Linked DNA regions of Arabidopsis thaliana. The protein of the gene in region 1 interacts with the protein of each later gene in a pairwise test. Each region holds a gene or a part of one and is shown on either strand. Other genes may lie near its edges.

What was found. The genes of interacting proteins can lie anywhere in the genome.
Region 2: the proteins of LHT2 (region 1) and AT5G63710 interact in a protein complementation assay, tested with the Arabidopsis thaliana proteins (one large-scale study listed by BioGRID).

What each region holds. Positions count from the first base shown.
Region 1 is NC_003070.9:8,650,360-8,656,831, forward strand, and holds LHT2 (lysine histidine transporter 2), read right to left. Parts: upstream 3,557-6,472; 5' UTR 3,203-3,556; coding exon 3,021-3,202; intron 2,937-3,020; coding exon 2,553-2,936; intron 2,346-2,552; coding exon 1,952-2,345; intron 1,867-1,951; coding exon 1,761-1,866; intron 1,664-1,760; coding exon 1,572-1,663; intron 1,481-1,571; coding exon 1,412-1,480; intron 1,303-1,411; coding exon 1,204-1,302; 3' UTR 1,048-1,203; downstream 1-1,047. Other genes in the region: AT1G24405 (uncharacterized protein), read left to right, coding at 4,894-5,079; AT1G24420 (HXXXD-type acyl-transferase family protein), read left to right, coding at 6,328-6,472. UniProt on the Arabidopsis thaliana protein: Amino acid-proton symporter. Transporter with a broad specificity for neutral and acidic amino acids. Basic amino acids are only marginally transported.
Region 2 is NC_003076.8:25,496,925-25,504,129, reverse strand, and holds AT5G63710 (Leucine-rich repeat protein kinase family protein), read right to left. Parts: upstream 4,620-7,205; 5' UTR 4,227-4,619; coding exon 4,211-4,226; intron 4,198-4,210; exon of another isoform or gene 4,107-4,197; coding exon 3,960-4,106; intron 3,882-3,959; coding exon 3,752-3,881; intron 3,666-3,751; coding exon 3,594-3,665; intron 3,518-3,593; coding exon 3,374-3,517; intron 3,280-3,373; coding exon 3,214-3,279; intron 3,125-3,213; coding exon 3,054-3,124; intron 2,982-3,053; coding exon 2,838-2,981; intron 2,750-2,837; coding exon 2,408-2,749; intron 2,331-2,407; coding exon 1,936-2,330; intron 1,853-1,935; coding exon 1,532-1,852; 3' UTR 1,299-1,531; downstream 1-1,298. Other genes in the region: AT5G63700 (zinc ion binding / DNA binding protein), read left to right, coding at 6,498-6,616.

The DNA.
Region 1 (6,472 bases):
TCAAAATCAAAATTTTAATTTGTTTTGTGTTAATTCAAGGTAAAATTTTAACATAATAATATTTTAAAACTATATTGTAACATTTAACTATACAAACAAAAATAATTCTCTAATTTAATAAGAATTTAACTACATCAATGATGATCATTTAGTAAGATGGCTTGCTTGTTGTATAAGCACCACTACAAAAGTCTCGTAATGACTTAGAGGTCTAGCAATACGGCACGATAAAGCTAATTTGCCATATGATATGTCATAAACTGTAGTCTCAAAAGGTTGAAGAGCGGTGAGATCCATGGTGTCCAAAGTAATGTGGTAAGAGGAAGCAGCAGAATGCGTGGACTGGTTGTATATACTTATACTACTGAGCTCTATGTTTTTCTCCTAATATTAATCAAGAAAGAATTGTATGACAAAATACATGCATAGACAAAGAAACAAGAAGATCATGTACATATAGAGCGAGTTTAATCAAAGCTGGATCGGAGCAAATTGTAACGATGAAGCCGAGCCTAGCATAAAGGATAATTAAGGCAGGACAAGGAGAAGACTCATCAAAGAGCTTTATAACCAAAATTGCCGATTTCTCTATTAGATAGAAATTGATGAAAGGACATTTTGTTCTTGGTCTGCCGTTTACAAGTAAACTCTCCACAAAAGGGTACATGTGGCGTTACGAGTTACGACCAGAATCACAGGTTCACGTATCAACAAAAACAACGTATAAATCAAGATATTTGAAAAGCCAAAATAATAAACGAAGCTATTAAATTATTCTCATCACTCATGCATGCTGTACTGGAAAGTATAAATTCGTTTTCAAGTCATGTCATATTGTTGACAGGTGAAAACCCCGTGATTAAGATTAAATCTAACCACAGATCCAAATCATCTAATGTAAATGTATCCATAAACCATAAAGAAAAACAAAACGCAGTGTCGTGCTGACCATGGTAACATTGCATCTAGACGTGTCATAAAATTCCCGTGTACGTTCTTGCATAAATTACGAAATCACAACATTAGAAGAACCAGATCATGGAGATTAATTATTTGAAAAAGAGTTTATTATCAAAAGAAACCAAAGATAATTGTCTTAACTACAATGAAAACATAAAATTTACTTAAACGGACAGTCACATAAAATTAGACATGCCGTGATTTTATTTTTCGGTTGCGCGGTTACAAAAAAAAGTGATCCATCTAAGAGAAGAACTTGTAGGTCTTGGCGTTGATAATGATGGTTCTGAGTCCTCCAATTGGGGCAAGGATCGTCAAAAGAACTCCTACTATGATGCAGAACTGTATTTTTTCATAATCCACAACACCAACAAACCAAAACACAAAAATTGTTACTTTACAAGAAAACAAGAGCTATAGATTATGTACCATTGATTACTAAAGAACATACCCAGTTAGCTGTCCAAGATAGACCAAACCTCTTTGGTTTCTTGAGAACGAGCCACATAATGCATGGAAGCTGCAGTTACAAATTAATATGTGTATATAAATTCACAACTTTAATCTATGGATAAACCAATAAAGAAATGAAGGGATTATTTGTACTATACGTAGTAAGTTGTTGGGGCAAAGGCGAATCCTCCAAAGAAGCCGAGTAGTCCACCGAAAAACGGGACGCATATCGCAACAATCATCGTGAAAGCTGCACGGTCCAATGTACATTGATGAAAATGAGATTAATTAATGAATGGAGTAGGAGGATGACGTTACATATGTATAAATGAGGAGTGGGTTCTTACCGACGTAAAGACTACGAGTAATGAAGCGGAGCTTGAAAGAAGGATTGAAATTCATCTTTTTGACCAAAACGGTTTCGAGCATGTCAAAAACTGGCATTGCAAATATCTGAATCCACACAAAGGTGTCAATATTCATGAAATAATTCTTACTTCAATCAAAAATATAGAAGTACTAGAATGTGGAAGAATACCTGATAGCTTCCAATGACATGGATAACCACGAACATGTTAGCCATAGCAATAAGCCAGATAGGCTTCTCCAAAGTGATGAGGATGTTGTCATCAACGCTGTTTCCAAAGATATAATAGCCGAGGAATGCTACAGGGAAGTAACAGATGGCGACTACAATGTAGGCTACAATAACTCCTCTCCACATTGGGACCTTGGATGGCATCTCCGGAGTCGAAGGGATTGTGGCCTGAATCTCCAACACAACGTTGTGACCTGCATAAGCAAAAGCCACATCTCCCAACGCATTCAAGAAGTTGAATACTTTTCCAACATCGGTTGATGCTCTAGGAGAGTAGTCCACATCTGGATGTACCCCTTTGTGCACGGATGCAGCCCAAGCAATAGTTGAGTAACTGTACAGATCATAAAAATCATCAGGCAATAAAACCTAGTTTTCTACATATTTTGGGATTATGCTAAGTTTTTCTTCTAATAACCGGAAAATATACAACAATTTTGATCCCTAGCCTTGAACCACAAGGCATGCTCTAGGTTAATTATTCTAACTTTCTGTTCAAGTTATAAAGTAAAACCAATATATGTGTGTTGAAGAGATTTACGTTAAGGACATAACAGCCGCGGCAAGTGAGATGATGGAGATAGAGTTGAAATTGGGAAGGTGAGAGATAACAAAGTGGACGGAAGCAAAGATCATGATCCAAAACGTAGTTCTGATCTCTTTGCAATCGGGACAGACTAGTTGATGGACTTTCTTGAGGGATGCTCCTCCTGTGACCATATAAACGATGTCAACACCGACCTCCACGATAAGCTGCTGCGGCACGACGATCCATAGGCCAAGCTTTTCACCAAAAGCGTGTTGACCTAGCTCGTGATACCTATCAAGCCTCTTCCCTGGAACAATCTCATGCATCTCCACCATTTGCCACAGTGTGTACAACGTTATGATCCATGACATCACCATAATCGTCACTCCAGGTCCCCTGTAATACATCAAAAACTCAGATCAGATCATGGATTAAAACATAAAGGAGATTAAGATTATCAGATTCAACAAATTAGTATACCATCCGAGATTGGACATAGCGTAGGGCAAGCTAAGAACACCAGCACCAACCATGGCGGTGACATTGTGAAAAGCAGAGTACCACCACTTAGCGTTTCTGGAAGATGTGATCGGTAACCAATCGTCGACGTTCTTCTGCTTGGCCGCCGCAACCTCACTCGCTGACATTTCACTGTTCCCCATATCTCCTTGTGATATAATCGAGAGATAGTGTTTGGTTTTTGAGAAAGAGATTAGATACAATTAAGAAGATTTTAGGAGGATAAAGATAAGAGTGATATTTAAGAGGAGGATAGATATTCTCTGACGGTTTAGGATTTTACCTGCTTAATTATTCTATTCAACGATTTGTTAGCGTTTATGAGAGTGTAATAAATAGGTGATGAGATTCTGACTTTTCCGAATTTGAAGGGAATGTTTGTTAGTTTGTTTGGTAGTTTTGTTTAGTGTGTTTGGTCTTTTTTTTTGCCCGAGGCATAAGGCACCATCGGCTGGAAGCTGTTTCATGCTTAGACCAATTTAAATACTAATTTACCCCCAATCGTTCTTCTTGATTCAATGATTCTCTTTACATTGACATGGCTTTTTTTTGTAATTTCGTACTTTTTTCTCCCTGTATTTGCATGATTTATTTTCTTTTTTGGATAGAGCTGAATTTTTCTTTTCATGGTCACCTGATCTAACGAGTGTTTCGCTTTTAAAAAATAAAATAATATTTATTCGATAGATAAATATATCTTTCTCATTTAATGATTATTTTGAGTTGACCGACAAAAAATTAGCTGTTTTTTTGTTTTTCTTTTAGTAGAATTTATTTATATCTTGATATATATATATATATATATATATATATATATATATATATATATATATATCTAAGAGAAAATATGTTAAAAATCTATATATTTAAGCAATAACTATATTATTAAATTACTAATAGTGGCATAAAAATGCTAACATATTATTAGTTAGACAAAACGCTCTTAGATATATAAGGTGATGAGTTGTATATATTATTATTTTTTGTTAATTTTGCATATTTGTAATGTCGATGATGAGAAATTGAGAATGATCAGAGTATAAATACTCCAACTAAATCTTGGTCGTAGTGACGTTTCGCTAGCGTAATCTCTCTTTTTGACACTGTAAATCAAAATCACGAAACGTCATGACATCAAAAGGAAGATAAATATCTATATATTTTCTTTTTTCATCTTCTATTACAAAGTCAATGAAACAGACGAACTATTTATGCTTAGCGTCACTTGCATCCCGTGATATTTATGAAGGAAAACTAAAATTGTTGAAGCATAAATGCATGGTTATTTGTCACAGTATTCCCAATTGATTAGAGGGTCGCTCGAACGAATCAAGGGACCGCTCCGATTAATGATATGGTTGACTATAAAAAACAATTATTGTTGGTAGTACAATGTCACAAAACGAAACAAGCGTAATAATATAATTTCAAAGCGTGACAAAAAAAATTGTATGTCGTTTTTTATCAACAGTAATTAATCTACTCAACTATCCTTTGAAAATGTTGAATAAAATGTAAAAGAGAAATTAGGTTGAACCGTTGAAGCGTATAGTTTTTGATTACTCAAAAAAATTCAAGTGTTTCAGGTAAGGGGTTCTTTTCTTGTTGAAGGGTTTTCACAGTCAAAGGTGAAAGATGTTGATTCTTTGTCCAACCAAAGGGCAAAGAGGCACAACTAAAAACAGATAAACCCCAAAAATAAGCAACCAAGAAACTTATAGACATTGTGTCAAACCAATACTGTCTATAATAAGTAAAACAAAATCTTTCTTTCACCCTCATATTTGTTTCTAAACCTTCTCATTCCACAAAATCTTAAAGAGAGACGAAGAAGATGGATTCTGGACTATCATGGGCTGATCAATGGGATTACAACTCTGATCCTCCTCCAAATTCAAGTAACGAAGACGATAAGAAGAAGAAGAAGAAGAAGAAGAAGGAAGATGGAAGCAAAAGCGGTATCGGGAAGGCCATACTTGGATTCAAATGGATGAAACTTGGCAAGAAATCTGATAAGTAATCAATAGGTTATTTGTTTAGTTACAAAAGGGTTATTGATTCATCTGTTCCTTGTGATTAATCCATTAAGTTCTGCTTCTCTCTTTTAACCATTCTTCTGATTGTAATTGTTAAATCTTTAACATTTAGAAAGTTCGTTGGTTGCGGTTGATTGTGTATTTATATTTTTGTTGGTGAGAATTTAATAGCGACCAGGAATTGTGTTTTTGTTTTATTAAAGGTGTATTATAAAATCATTAATCCTATTAGATGAGTACATGTAAAAAAAATCATCCTTTTGAGTTTGTAATACCTAAAATGACAAAGAAAACTTAATGGATCGCTAAACACTCGTAAAAGACGTCTAGGCAATAAACAACGATTCAAAATATCACTATCCTAGTTTACTAAAATCAGCAACATGCAGGATGTACCGACAAGTAACCTCTCACAAAATTCATAAACCATGCCATATAGGCATAGTTTAATCTAATGCCGCGTCACCATCTGGATGCAAACAACAAGCAAAGTGAGATGTTCAAAAGAAAATATCTTTAAAATTGTAATACTCTTTAGCTTTTTGTAAACTACTTTTAACGTAAACGTGAAGAAAAAGTTTGACATTTATTCATACAAAAAAAAAAATATATACAAAAGGTTTGACATTTACATTATTATTTTTTTAATTTAATGTTAAATTAGATTTAAAAGAAAATAGCGTTTTTACAACTAGTGCAACGATAGATTAAAAAACATTGTGTTGAATAACGATTAACAGAAAAAAAAAAGATGTTTGAGATGCTTGGATAATGGATTCATTTTAGAAAAATTGCAATCATAATCTTGAATCTGCAAACAATTAAGGCCAATAAAAATTAGCTATCTAGTCCTAGAAAGGAAAAATGTCCTTTTTGTAAAATCAAAGGACCCCTTAAGGTTTTAAAAGCAATGCAATTCATTATAATTACTATTCTCTGTTTCGATATTTAAGACAAGATTTTTAAGATGAAATAATAACGTTTTGTCTCCTGACGAGTAAGAATCTTGAACTGTTGTTGGTCTCCCCACTAGTAGGAATCTTTAATATGAATGTAATCTATTAATAATAATAAGGATAATGATGATGATGACATGAATTAATGATAAATAATATGACTGGTCTTTTGTGATGCAGGAATATGTAGCTATTCTCACCAAGAATCTTCATTGAAGTTATTTTACAAGCGTGTCATGGTTTATCAGAAAGTGGAGAAAGACTTTGTTCGTAAAAATGGAGAAGAACGTTGAGATCTTATCAAGAGAAATAGTCAAACCGTCTTCTCCAACTCCAGATGATAAGAGAATTCTCAATCTCTCTCTTCTTGATATCCTCAGCTCACCAATGTACACAGGAGCTCTTCTCTTTTACGCAGCTG
Region 2 (7,205 bases), on another chromosome or scaffold:
TTCCTTTCTGAATATAAGTGTCTAATTCACAATTTAAAATAAATAAAATATTATACATAATGGTAAATGTGCATATAATATGTCTAATGGTATTGAATGCAAGACAAGTACCTTCCTCTCGATTTATTATTACCTTATTATTGCTTTTGGCTCCACCTCAACGACTTACTAAATTTTGTCTTTTTTTTAGTTATAAATTAAAGTAGTATGATTTACATTTCTTTTTTTTACCAAGTCATGTATATACTAATACTAATACTGGTTAGAAATGTTTTTTTTCAATGTTATAGGTTTTATACTAGTAACAAAATCTATCTATACTAATATGAATCATGGTTGATATATCTACTATATTTTGAATATCATCCCACTTTTTCACATGATAACTCTTTTTTTTTCAACATGTAAAATATGCATACATATTTTTTTTTGTAGGGAGTAAATATGCATACATATAGCTTGTAACATTGTCTCCCTATTGATTGCGTATTTAATAAAATTTTGCATATAAAATTTTTTTTTTGGGGACCCGTTGTTTGTTATTTAGGGTACGTCTGAGAGGCTCAGGAGAAATACCGAAGAACACGTCATAACAAACCAAAGAGATAGAAAAGGAAAACGAAGATCTGGACGTTCATTCATAGTTGAATCGGACGGTGGAGAAGAAAGTTACCTGGGAACCGGACATGTCGGTGTCAGCGGAAACCAAGCACCAAGAACCGAGAAAAACAGCCCGGTTTACGAGGAAGTTAGAAAGGAGTTCTCTTTTTCACTGACCGCTTACGTCTGTCTCCGGTCCCATTCCTTGCCTCATCCTTCATTTAACGCACCCAAAGTACACAACACCAAAATTAACAATCTGTATTTTAATACCAGAGGATCTAGAGTTTAAGAATAAATCTTAATCCATGAAAGTTCTGTTCTTATGAATCTACACTCTGAATCCATGTCACTACAACAAAAACATCTAGATTTGTTTTGTTCTGTCACTGTATCATCCCTTCCAATAAATCACTAGTCTAATAATTTCATGAGATACATAGACTGGACAATTAGTTTTCTTGATAGTACATCATTTACAATCTAGAAACAAGAATACTCGACGTGCAGAAAAAAACAAGAATACTCGACGTAAAATTAGCCATAAACAATGTCACAAGTGGGGTAAATTGTTAGAATACAAAAGTTGAAGGTAAAATTGAAAAACCAACTAAACTTCAAGGACTGGATTCAGAAGTTTATAATTTTTACGGGACACACACGAAACGACGACGTATGTAGAAAAACAGAGCAAACACTGCCACCATAACAACCATGATCATCATTATCATACGAAAATAACCAAATTCATATATATACAAAACACAACTAGTTATGTATATCATATCATCTATTACACAAATCAACGTTGTGTGTTTGCTTCGTTTTCCCCACCTGGTTCAATACAATTAGCAGCTTAAAATACTTTCTAAGTTTATCTTCTGTAATGCAAGTTTGTTTTCATAGATATCTTTCTCTCTCTGTTTCTTCTTCATCTTGCTGTCGATAATCGGATAGATTCTTGATCAACGGTGGTTTCTTCTTCATCCCAAGTAGCCGGTAAAGTCGGAAGCAACAATGCTTCTTTGTTCCTAACTTCTTCAAGTTGTTCCCATTCAGTCCATTTCTCAGCCAAACCACCAGTCCCTTGAAGCATTTTGACCACTTCAGACATCGCTGGTCTATCTTCTGGTGAGCCTTGTGTGCAGAGAAGAGCCACTTGAACGATTGTTTCAACTTCTTTGGAGTCATATGTAGTCAAATTGCTATCAACAATGTCTCTAAGTCTCTGTTCTCTAAGCAACTTCTTTATCTGTTTCATACACATCCAACAACTTAAGATTAGTTTCAAGTCTTTTCAGATAGAAGAAAGCATGTAAAAGAAGTCAATCTTACATGATCAAGCAAGAGAATATTTTCCTCTTCTTCCAAGCGTGAAAAATCGATTGCGCGCTGACCAGTAACAAGCTCAAGAAGCGTTATACCGTAACCAAAAACATCGGTTTTTTCAGATGATTTTCCTGTGCAGAGATACTCTGGCGCAATGTGACCCATTGTGCCTCGGACTTGAGTTGTGACATGAGTCAGAGATGTGTCCACAAGCTTAGCTAAACCGAAATCTCCAAGAACTGGCTCAAAATTGTTGTCTAAAAGTATGTTTGCAGCCTTGAGATCGCGGTGTATGATCTTCGGGTTACAATGTTCGTGTAGATACTCTAAACCGTGAGCTGAACCAAAAGCTACACGCTTCCTTGTTGGCCAGTCTAATCCTTCCTCTCCCGCTTTCAAATCTACAATGTCACATATGTACACACACATTATAGAATCTATTATTTGGTTAAGTGATAGAGAAGCTAAGTATATATACCTCTTAGTCGATATGCAACACTAAGATTTTCCATGTATGGATAAACAAGGATTCTCTCAGAGGAAGTTGTGCAGAAGCCAATAAGGCGTAAGAGATTTTTATGAACCGCAACGCTTATGAGCTGAATCTCTCTTTGGAAAGCAGCTTCTCCTCCAGGACTGAAGTAATCCGCAAGGCGTTTCACTGCAACTTTTGTTTTGTCTGGAAGCAAACCTCTGTATACTTTACCAAATCCTCCTTGTCCTATCAAATTGCTCTCGTTGAAACTATCTGTTGCGAGCTGGATTTCACGTAAAGAGAATCGTTTTAGTTGTCCAAAGGAAATCTTCCTGTCATCTTCCCCTGCATTTTTTAAGGAAAAAGGATATTGGCTCAAGAGTTCATATTGATCTAATGAGATGTTTGACTATAAGTATATGTAACTTCTTACCAGCTACATCAAAAAAGATGTCGTATTTGGTTCTGCGGACGCGATGGTGATGATACATAACCATTGCTCCAAGGAATAAGATTATAGAAGCAACACAACTTGCAGTCAAAGTAATGTCTCTCAGCTTTTTCTTGGAGGATGTGACTGAACATAAAGATACTAAGTTAAGTCTTTCTGTTTGTATGTGAATTGGAGAAAGAAGAAATAATTAAGAACCTGGAAGACGAGAACTTGAAGAACAAGGCTGATTCAAACTTTTACCGCATATAAGCTGAGTTCCTGAAAAACTGCAGAAAAATCACAAAAACGTGATTATAGTACTGACAAGTCACTGTGACTAATTAGGTAGATTCATGAGGAAAATAGTTTTTTTTACTCGAATGTTGGGATTGAGAAGAATTGTGTTGGGATGCTTCCTGTTAAATTATTGGATGAGAGATCCCTGTGAATTAAATTTCAATGTTTTATCTTAGCCAAACGCTCTCACAGAGTCACATTTCAAAGATTGTTCCTAAAGAGTTTTTGAGTGGACTTACAAGTGCTTTAGATTCGAGAGCTGACTCCAGCTCGCTGGTATCGATCCGCTGAAACTATTCACTGATAGGTTTAAAGTCTGTAGATTAACCATGTTCCCAAGAGAATCTGGTAAGGCACCAGATAAACTATTGTTCTGTAACTCTCTGCATCAAGAACAATTACTATGAGTAATGGAACCTAAAAAGAAACTTGTAATGGAATTGGTTTATGATCTCTTACAAGGTAACCAAGAACTTCAGTTTTGTAATAGCTGGAGAGAGTGTTCCTGTGAATCCACTCGAGGCAAGATTTCTACAGATTGATACAAAACAAGTTTTTCAACATGATGAGAAATCTTGGTAACTAAAACTTGAGAAGTGATCTTTAAGAGTACTTACAGAGCCACAACACTCTGGCCTCTGCAGGTAACATAAGACCAACTATAGCAAGGGCTCACAAAATCGCGTGTCCATTTTAGACGATTGCTCGAATCATTAAGCGAATCTCTGAGCTGCAACAGAGCTCCTCCTAGCAAATGAATCAAGAAGCGAGTTAATACTACAAGATCATTAATGATTTATAAACAAAGGCTAATTATATATAGACCTTCGATATCTGGTTGAGTTGTTGACGAAGTGATTCCCACAAAAGCTAAGGCCATGAAACATTGTAAGATCAATTTCTGATTGTTCCATCTAAAGCAATTTCTTTGAATGAATCCTCGAAGAGGATCATGGAAACTTTCACCGTTCCCTGCAGTTTATTAAATCAGTCAATCTCAGTTTAAACAGCTTTTCTTTTCTGCTGCAGAATCTATAGTCTAAATTGCAGCAAATCGATGGAGAAAGTTAACTTACTATACAAGAAACACATAACTTGTGTGATCAAACTATGTTAACTAAACATAAGAAAGCAAAGAAAAGAAAAGACCGATTTGTGGGTCTAATTATGTCTTAAAAACTAACAGCTTTGATTGCTTTCTGATGTGAAACATTGTCAGATCAATCCATAACTCCTCTATCAGAGCTCATTTGAACCGAAAACATTAAGAAAAATGAAAGCTTATAAGTATCAAGAACAACAAAATTTATAATTCTGTCTTTGACTCTTTGCTTTGATGATCAAAAACCTCTCCGTTTCACCTAAATATGTACCAAATATTTTGTAACTCGAAACTAAAAGAAACAATAAAGTTATGTAAAATAAACAACAAAAACCAAGAAACCTAATTAATATACAATGGAGAAAGATAGGCATTAAAGTATAAGTAAAACAAAGCTTTTAAATACCCGAGTGAGCCATAGAGGAGCTGAAAACACTCTAAACGGAAGAGAACGAAAACATGGGGTTGAAGAGAGAAATGGAGGATTTGTATAATAATGAAGCCAATAAAAGCAACAATAATGTAAAATCATCTAAAGAAAGAGAAGTTAGTGCTTATAAAGGACCCACAAAAGGTATTTTTCATATTTTTATCTCTATGATGTAAAAAGAAGATGAAGAAATGCTGCTTTGAGAGAAAGAGAATCCCACTAAGTTGAAACATCTTTGATTTCTTAATGGAGGTGTATTTTTCCATCTTCTTTTGCTTCTTTATTTTGGGTGAGATCTCTTTTGCAAGTGTGTAACTTGGGATGTGATTGGGGCTAAAAAGGATATCAATTTTAACAAAAAAGGATATAGATGGCCCAAAATAAACATAAAGTAATAAAGAATGATTTAAACGAATTAGTAATAGAAAACAAACCAATGACTTAATTAAGAACTTAATAATGTTTGGGAAAATGGCTTATGCTTTAGGAAGAGACAGAAGCATGTGTAAGAAGGTTCCACACTTCCACTTGTTCGTGTTATATTACTCCACTATTCTGGACGATGACAATGCAAAAGGGCGTTTTTGTATATATTCCTTTCTTCTCTGACCTTCAAATCAAAGGATATGATACAAACTAAAATAGTTTTAACATAACCTATAACTATATATATATATATATATATTTAACTATCTGTTTTTGAGTAAATAAATTCAAACATTGAGAAGTTTACATTTTTAACATTTATAAGGTAAGTAATTGATCTTTTGATATCCTTTTAAAAAACAAAAAAAAAAACAAATTTAGTTACCGCCTTTCAAAAAAGACGTAGTAAAACATCAATGTTTAGAAAACTTTAGGTTATTTCCCTTAAGAGCTATGTTGAAACATCATGTAGAAATGTAGGCAGAAGAGAAAAAAAGATAGATATTTTTAATAGGAAAATTAGGTGAAGAAAAGAGAAAGAGAACATAATGTGAGGAAGAAGAGACTAAGAATATATACGGAATAATGATATCAATACTAATATGCTTGATTAGTTGGACATGTTCTTATGCTCCTCCCTTTATATGTTGTCATACGATTCTTCACCTTATTGAGACTTTTGTTCGATCTGCAAAAAGATCTGATGATCATATCTCAATCTAGAACGTATATTTCAAAAGTTAAATTTCATCAACATTCACAAATAAAACAAACTCAAATTTATTTTCTATTTTTATCAGGAAAAAATGAACTTAGGTAAGTGAGAAAAAAGCCTTCAGAGCAAAAAAAAAAGAAAGAAAGATAAATTTGAACATTGTGAAACCAAATGCCAGATTACTTTTCTTACTTATTAAAATCTTATAACTTGTAAATGATTTGTTCATAAAAATGTTATAATTAGTAAATTAATTTTAACAACAAATATCACTTATAATCCAAAATTTAGGTAAAGACAAAACTTGGTTCGATATCTTTTGTACTTGCGAGCATTGTACTTCCCGGTCACAAAACGCAATCGCTAAGTAAAAAAAAAAGGTCCATCTGAACGCAAGACTTATTCAATTTACGAAATAACCCCTATGAAACTGTGTTTAATGGACACGTGTCCTGGATACGATAGGGGTATAATAGAGACTTTAGGAAAGTAGAGGTTGGCGTTTGGGTGATTGGTCAAAGCGAATCCTTAAGAATCTAGTAATACTGACACAGGTCACTCAAACAGCTATTTATTTGGCTAATTTTCAGCCTTAATATCAGAATTAGAGAGATAAGTTTTTCTTCTTCTTGCTCTGTCGCCACTAACTAGGTCACCGCCAAGTAACATCGGATCGAGAGAGAGAGAGCGATGGCGAGAGATATGAATGTAGTGGAGATTTTGGATGATGAGGAGGAGGATGAGAAGGAGTGTGAGGATTGGTGCTTTATCTGTAAAGATGGTGGAAACCTAATGCTCTGTGACTTCAAGTGAGTCTCTCTCACTTAGTTAAGCATAATGCTGCTGCTGCTTCGGTAGAGGATTAGTTTTTTTTGTTTGCTTGTTCTTTGCATGTTCTTGATTTCTAATGATGAAGGGTGTTTTAGTCTTTGTTGGGTTTTGCTTATATTATAACGAGGATTTGTCAATTTCAATGTAGGATTGTACCGAGTGAACATGTATGTTGTCTTATTGGTTCTTTTTTATAGATTTGTTTGTCTAAGTGGAAACAGGAAACTTTGTGTTCTTCACTAGGAAAGTACTTCTTTTTCAATCAAGTTACTTTTGTTTATTCAAATTGACGATTAGGGGATTTCGTTTGGAGGCAGTGATTTATGCCAAAAGAAGTCATTTCCTCTGAATGATGAAGCTATAAAAAATGTTACTGCTTTGGTTTTTTTTGATGATTCTTTCATATGAATGCGCTTGAGGAGAGACATTGTGTATTATTCTGTAGTTAAAGGTATAAAGATGTTTCTTTTTTCTTTAGTTCATTAATTAGGAGCTTAGGTAATGTAGCAACATTGACTTTTTCCTTCTATTAAATTGCAGCAGATTGTTAATGTATGATTTGCATGA